2 linked regions of the Drosophila melanogaster genome follow. The protein of the gene in region 2 purifies or fractionates together with the protein of the main gene of each other region. This does not show direct contact. Each region holds a gene or a part of one and is shown on either strand. Other genes may lie near its edges.

Region 1 (3,751 bases), on a different chromosome or scaffold from region 2:
GCGTATTGGTCCCTTAAAGCCTTCCACTTCAGTCGACACTGTTTCACTAAAATAGTTAATGCTTGAAAAATCATCTTCATCCTTCGGCTGTTTAAGTTTATCAACCACATACCCGACTTCTTTAGTTTTCTGGCGATTTCCTCCCACACCTCCATCTTGAGCTTGGCATTGCGATAGTTCTCGTTGCCGTAGTTGTAGATCATGTCTTCCTGCTGGATCAGCGTGATCAGTTCCTTTTCGAAGTAGCTCTCCATGTTGAGAAATGTGTGTATGGGATCGTCGTCCTCCTCCTCGGCGTTCGTCGATTGATTGTGCGCTGCTGAAGTGGTGGATACATTAGACGTGATTGTTGCTGCCGAGCTCGACTGATTGGCGGCATTGACGCAGTCCACTATTTCGTTGTAGAGAGTGTCTACCACCGTGGTTGTGTTGGCGGTTCCACACTGCACTATGATTGATGGAGTAGCACCGCCTCCCGCATCCGTCAGATAGTTCCAGTTCGCTTCCGGCTGCGAGTGCATTTGTTGCTGATGCTGCTGTTGCTGCTGCTGCTGCTGCAGCACGGCTCCAATATGGCTTGCCAAGAAAGTGGCTGCCGGCTTCTTATCAGTTGAACTAGGCGAACTGAAGCTGCAGCTGTCGAGCAGCGTGGATGCACTGGCATCCTCAATTTTAATGCTGCCGGAAAGGTTTAGATTCTGGCTACTGCTGTTGCTGCTGAAGGAAGTAGTCATGGGCAGCGATAAGGGGGTCACCGTACCCACGGCGCCATTGGAAGTCTGACCAGATCTCCCTCTGTAACTAAAGAATTGTGGGTTTAATTAAATACGGACATATCATTTGGAAGCCTGAAGAACAGAACTAGTGATAGATAGCTCCATATGCTGTATAGTCTGCATTGGCAGTCAGCATGGCGGTGCCAACTTGAATTGCTCCACGTGCTACTTACTTTCTTGCCAGCGCATATGGACGCAGGAAATCCAGCTCTTTGAAATACTTCCACTTCACTGCTTTTGAGCAGGCCTTGGCGCGCTTCAGCTCCCGGCAGTACTGATCCCTCATGGCCTTCCACTTGGACTTGCACTGGACGTCTGTGGAAATGGGATTAAGTGCCAACTTTTTGGTGGGGAAACTTAAACGTTCACTTACCGGACCAACCCACATTGCTGCCAATCTCCAGCCATTTCTCGTCCTTGATCTTGGTGCTGCGGTAGTGGGGATGCTTGGGATTGTATAGCGACTGCTCCTGGGAGACCAGCGAAATGAGGATCAGCTCCTTGGGAATGCTGACCACATTCTCACCCAGACTAGGATCTATGCTGAGATTCACGTGCTGCTGCTGCGGCTGCTGGTGCTCCTGCAGCTGGTTGGCACATGGCAGCGTCTCCATGGCGCTCCCTACTTGGTGTCCATGCTGGCGGTGTGTTAATATGGGCAATTGTTATAAATAAAAACAGGGAAAACAAAAATGAGGTGACCGAACAGCTGATCCTGGAGAGTTGTGTAATTAGAGGGACCAGTTTCGCCTTGGCTATACAAGCATCTTTTTTACATTGAGTGGAACATCTGGTGGCCACCGACCTGGTCACCCTGAACAGTCCAGTGCTGCAAGAGGCGCACACCATTTCGATAAGTTGGCAGCCCGCTCATATGTTCGATTTTAAAATTTTGGCGCCAAAAAATCGTCTTTCTATACATTTGTATTTAACGGCTAATCCAATTAGCTAATTGCATTACCGCTAAGGAAAAAAGAAAACATCATAACATTCAGGCAAAACAAATTGTTTAACTCTCAGTTTATTGTGCGACGCAGTGCGGTTCAAAACTAGAAACTTTCTTCTGGCAAATATTGCAGCCGTCCTTATATAATTAATGCTCCATAATGCCGAAAATTGACCCAGAAACACAAAAACTCTACGACGAAATCAATGGCATGATACAGAAGTTTAAGGTGAATTAAATAAACTCAACGTACAGCGAAGTAAATTAAAAATATCAGATAATAAATATAGCAACAACAAAAGTAACATAAAAAAGTTTTCCCCATATAAAATAACAATACTCTAAAAATACCGATAGCCAGCTTAAAAAGAAATTCGTTGTCCTTAATTTAATTTTAACAAAAAAATATTAATATAACTTTTTGGAATATGTATGATAATATGATTGGGTTTTAAATATCTTGCCAGATTTCATACTTCAGTGCTAACTACTCCCATAATATTTCATCTCGATAATAGTCGAACACATTATTTCCAATTTTGAAAAAATTAAGTGACTTAACTTAATCGAAAACTGTATGCGTCTCTAACATTTATTCTGGAAATTCTTGTAATAAAAATTGTCATTCATTACTATGATTTTGCTTTCAGGATGACCAAAAAAGCAAGGCTGATTGCACGTTGGCCGATAAATGCGGCGACATGGGGGATGTGCCCAAGATTCGATTCTCATCCAAGAAGATTCTCAAGGGCCACATCAACAAGGTGAATTCGGTGCATTTTGCCGGGGACTCGCGGCACTGCGTCACTGGATCGCTGGACGGCAAGCTGATCATCTGGGACACCTGGACCGCCAACAAGGTGCAGATCATCCCCTTGAGATCCGCCTGGGTAATGACGGTGGCCTTTTCGCCGTCGGGTAACTTTGTGGCCTGCGGAGGAATGGACAACCAGTGCACCGTCTACGATGTGAACAATCGCGATGCCTCCGGAGTGGCCAAGATGGTCAAAGAGCTGATGGGCTACGAGGGATTCCTCAGCTCCTGTCGCTTCCTCGACGATGGCCATCTGATCACCGGCTCGGGAGATATGAAAATGTAGGGCTTTGCTTAACTTTTTGGAGTAAAATCTAAGTTTCCTATGACCAACAGATGCCATTGGGATCTGGAGAAGGGTGTCAAGACAATGGATTTCAATGGACACGCTGGTGATATCGCTGGCTTATCGCTTTCGCCAGATATGAAGACCTATATCACTGGCTCTGTGGACAAAACTGCCAAGTTGTGGGATGTGCGAGAGGAGGGCCACAAGCAGATGTTCTTCGGTCACGACATGGACGTGTCATCCGTCTGCGTGAGTACACATATATGTTTTAATAATAATAGCTTATATTAATTACCAAGAACAACTATAAGCAGCTAATCTATTTAGTACTTGTAATTTAATACAAATGTATTCATTACACCCACCCAATTATCATTATCGGTTGCAGTACCATCCCAGTGGCTTCGGGTTCGCCTCCTGCTCGGAGGACCAAACGGCGCGCATGTACGACCTGCGGGCGGACCAGCAAATCGCCCAGTATGAACCGCCCCAGAAGAACACTGGCTTCACGTCGTGCGGTGGGTTCTCGTTCTCCGTCTTGGTGGAACACGGTCGCCTTGACTTTTGACGGGTTTTTAATCTGATTTTGTGTCCCCACCAGCTCTATCGACCAGCGGGCGCTACCTCATGTGCGGCGGCATTGAGGGCAACGTGCACTCGTGGGACACGATGAAGCAGCGGCACACGGGTGGGTATTGGGAATTGGGTAGTTCGTATTGGGTATTGGATATCCATTGCACTTGGGGGATTCGGTGATAAAGAACGGGGAAATGGAGGCGAAGCTAATGCTCAGGCTGGCACTTGACTTACATCGATTTGCTGACCTTCTTCTCCACTTTCTACTTTCTACTTACCATTTGTCACTTTCCATTCCTCCACAGGCACACTGTCTGGTCACGAGAACCGCATCACTTGCATCAGCCTGT
Region 2 (3,751 bases):
GTACATCGGGACATTGCGAGGGTCGCCCTTGAAAAGCGGGGGAAAGTTACGCTTTTGGGGAAAAACTATTTTTAACGACTCGCATTTGTCAGCTGCAAATGGAAACGGGAATTTATTGCCAGGCAATCACGCTGATTTATGGTGATTTCAAAATGGTTTCACTAATTGGTTTGCGTTCTTTTCCAATGTTCGTGCTATAAAAATACAGATTTTGAGTTCGAGTACCGCAAATAGTTTTCTGTTAATTTTGGAAATAGGTTTCATGAATTATGGGGAATTTTCCTGTGCATCACATCTCTGATGTTATTCCGACATTTTGCATAAAACGTACAGTATTTTGGAAGTAGTGTGCAAGTGATTAATAAATAAATATCTTGAATTAATGTTTATATCAGCTCTGAAAACTTTACGTAAATATAAAATGTATGATTTTAGAAGTCAAAATAATCAGTGAACACGCATGGCAGTGAGTCATCACTATTGTGAATGCCCAATATATTTTTGTGTGAGCAATAGATGTTACTTCCGGATATCTTGGTAAATGCAAAAATAACAAGCTGACTTATGTCTACTAAGTCATTGATAAATTGTCAGAGGTTAACTAAAAAATAAACAAATTATTAATGATCCAACAATTCCACCGATTATCTCGATAACTTTTCATTTATTTACCAACCTGCCCTCTTTAGCGGGTCAAATGATGGACGGGAACAGCGAGACAATAAATAATGAGCTATAAATATTCATATAGTGCATTGTTGGGCTGATTGCTTGCATGTGTGCATCTGTGCATGGGTATTTATGCATTTAAAAAGCAAAGAAGGAGGACCTACTGATAAGCATTTCCCGATTGCTTTCACTTTTTAATCGATTGGCGTGGGGTGACAGGGATGGCGCGAGTCCTGCGGCATTAATGCAATTAATCGCCAGGAGAGACAAGGCCAACGTGTGTGTAATTTACAGTTACCGTTAAGTGCTTAAGTGCAAAGGAGGGGAACAGCCAGTGAGTTGTGACCACCGAGGAGCAGTAGAAAATAAGGTGATTTCAAGCTGATTAATGAGACTTACCTGTTTGTTTGATGTGCTATTTAAAGCTTCACTGTGAGTTTCGGCTGGTTGGAATTTTCGCAACAAATGTGTGGGTTCTGATAAGAAAGCGGGCGTTGATAAGACGCTTTTCCTTCTCTCTCTCTCTACCACTCCTTTCGCACACCACTGCAATTGCAGCATAAACAATTTGAAAGAACAAGAAGAAGCAGCGACACGCCTAGTGGGCAATTTTCCGGCCTTTTCGTTGGGAAATCTGCGTTTTTTTGGCTTTGCGCTCTTTTTTGACTTTGCCTTTTGGCTTTGCGCAAGAATACTCTTTGATTTTTTGTTTTTCTTTTCAATTTGACCGCATTTGTCGATTTTGGTTTTCTTTTCGGTTGTTGTTGCGGCTCTCACCAAAATTCACACACACAGGCGCGCTCTCACACATGCACAGATGGGCGGGCACACAGAACACACACACGCACACTACGACACACGCGGCGTTTCGTTGACGGAAAAGATACGAAAAATACGGCGTGAAATTCCCAGCTTTTTTCGAAAAGGCTCGCAAAACAAGGGCTCGACGCTCTTGCGGTTTTCCGGTTGGAGGAGTGGCTTTTCTAAGACGACACACGACGACGTTCGCAACTGGGCTTTCTGCAAGTGCCCAAAATTAACGATGGATCCGCGAATTGCCTGCTCGAAAAATATTGGAGTCTTCTGTAAGACCGTCGTTGAGTTAGTGAAAGACGTCTTCGACTCGCGGTAAAAAACTCTAAACGCGTAAAAAGACGGACTAATTTTGGCGGACTGTGTAGTGCTGATGCCTCAGCTATTTTCTAGCTAGCTTGAATTACTTAGATCTGGCGATTTGGACATCGTCGCGTCATTCTGTTGGTCGTTTTAGGACCTTTCAGAACATACCGTCTTAATTCTTCGTTTCTGAAAAGGAATTTAAATGCTGTTTCTTGCATGCTGTAACTAACATTGCTAAGAGTTGGCAGCACTGCAAATTTGACATTATCGGGGACACAAGCTAATAGTTCATTTTCTGGGAACCCTTCTAAATATCTTATTGGAAACGAAATTAATTTTTTTAAAATACGCTGTATTAATATTTACTACATTATTCCTAAGACATAATCCGTGTAATAGTTTGTCTATATAATTCATTTGTTGTTACCCTTGCCAGGTGGCAACGCCGAACGCACACATGTTGCACACTCTACTTTGTTTTAAATGGGCATTCTAGTTTTGAGATAACTGAATTAAACAATACAAATAGTTGAGGCGCTCTAAGTCTAACTTCCAAGTCTCAAGAAACGTACAGGGCTTTTATTGTAAGATTTTGACCACTAATTATTTCTTAAATAACCATGAAAATACAGCGTACAGAACTGTCGCCTCAGCCGGAATCACCCGGCACTTTTAGGTAATGGCCATGATTTTCACACGGAAATCGCTGAAGCTGCTCAACTATCGCCTCAAATGCCTAAGTTTGTCCTGCCCAGGAGGAAGGAGAGGAATCCAAAGCAGTTCCAACGGAGAAGCGCCCTCCGTGGAAGTCAACTTCAGCAATGGGTGAGTTCGTGGCCTCCACTCCGAGTTCCAATAGCAAAGTCTTGAATCCTCCGCAGACGTAACATGACCTTCAGTTCCGGCCGCCTGGCGAGATTTGCGAATGGAACAGCTGTGTGCCAAATGGGCGATACCGCCGTCATGGTCACCGCGGTGGCCAAGGCGAAGCCAAATCCCGGCCAGGGATTCATGCCTCTGGTGGTTGACTACCGACTGAAAAACGCCGCCTCTGGCAGAATACCCATGAACTTTATGCGCCGCGAACTGGGCCCCTCGGAAAAAGAGATCCTGTCCGCCCGCCTTATCGACCGTTCGCTACGCCCGCTCTTCCACAAAGATTATCGCACGGAGACACAGCTGGTGTGCAACATGTTGGCTATGGACGCGGTGCACAGTCCGGATGTGCTTGCAATCAATGCCGCTTCCATGGCGCTATCTCTAAGTGACATTCCCTGGAATGGACCCATTGGAGCTGTGCGGTGAGTACTCACGAACGAATCTAACTGGTAACCGCTTATAACTCTTTTAATCCTACAAAGCGTTGGCCTCTGCGACGGCGAGGTGCTGATCAACCCCACGCGCCGGGAGCTGCAGACTTCGCAACTGGATTTGGTAGTCTCCGCCACCAAACAAAACCTCGTCGTTATGTTGGAGGGCAAGGGGAATGTGGTTCTTCAGCAGGACCTTCTAAAGGCTATCAAACAAGGGACTCGTGAGGCCCAATTCATTATCCACGAGATCGAGCGACTGCAGAAGGCCTATGGTCGACAGAAGCGCGAAGTGGAAGTGGCTGCCGAAGTAGATCCCGAACTGGGGAAAGCCGTTCGTAGCATGTGCGAAATGCGGCTGAGAGAGATCTTCCAGGATTCGACGCACGACAAGATGTCTCGTGACAATGCGGTTAACGAGGTGCGCTCCAACGTTATTGACAAGGTGTGGAGTTCGTTTCCGGATACCGAACCGTCGCTTATTACCGAGCAGTTCAACCAGACCAGTAGAACCATTTTTCGCGAACTGATCTTTGAGCGGGGTCTGCGTTGCGATGGACGAGATTACGACCAGCTGAGGAACATCTCCTGCCAGGTGGACATGTACAAGCCTCTCCACGGATCCGCCCTATTCCAGCGCGGTCAGACGCAGG

The links. Proteins that work in one complex are often made in the same cells at the same time.
Region 1: the proteins of Gprk2 (region 2) and Gbeta76C purify together in Drosophila melanogaster (affinity purification with western blotting, with the first as the bait; one study listed by BioGRID). This does not show direct contact.

Annotation. Positions count from the first base shown.
Region 1 is NT_037436.4:19,685,846-19,689,596, forward strand, and holds the start of Gbeta76C (G protein beta subunit 76C), read left to right. Parts: upstream 1-1,791; 5' UTR 1,792-1,882; coding exon 1,883-1,951; intron 1,952-2,372; coding exon 2,373-2,818; intron 2,819-2,872; coding exon 2,873-3,074; intron 3,075-3,213; coding exon 3,214-3,343; intron 3,344-3,426; coding exon 3,427-3,513; intron 3,514-3,706; coding exon 3,707-3,751. Other genes in the region: CG8765 (uncharacterized protein), read right to left, coding at 1-46, 113-801, 950-1,091, 1,150-1,390. UniProt on the Drosophila melanogaster protein: Guanine nucleotide-binding proteins (G proteins) are involved as a modulator or transducer in various transmembrane signaling systems.
Region 2 is NT_033777.3:31,403,274-31,407,024, reverse strand, and holds the start of Gprk2 (G protein-coupled receptor kinase 2), read right to left. Parts: upstream 1,781-3,751; 5' UTR 1,069-1,780; intron 1-1,068. Other genes in the region: PNPase (polynucleotide phosphorylase), read left to right, coding at 2,468-2,613, 2,670-3,089, 3,150-3,751. UniProt on the Drosophila melanogaster protein: Specifically phosphorylates the activated forms of G protein-coupled receptors. Required during oogenesis and embryogenesis; component of a signaling pathway that functions during egg chamber maturation.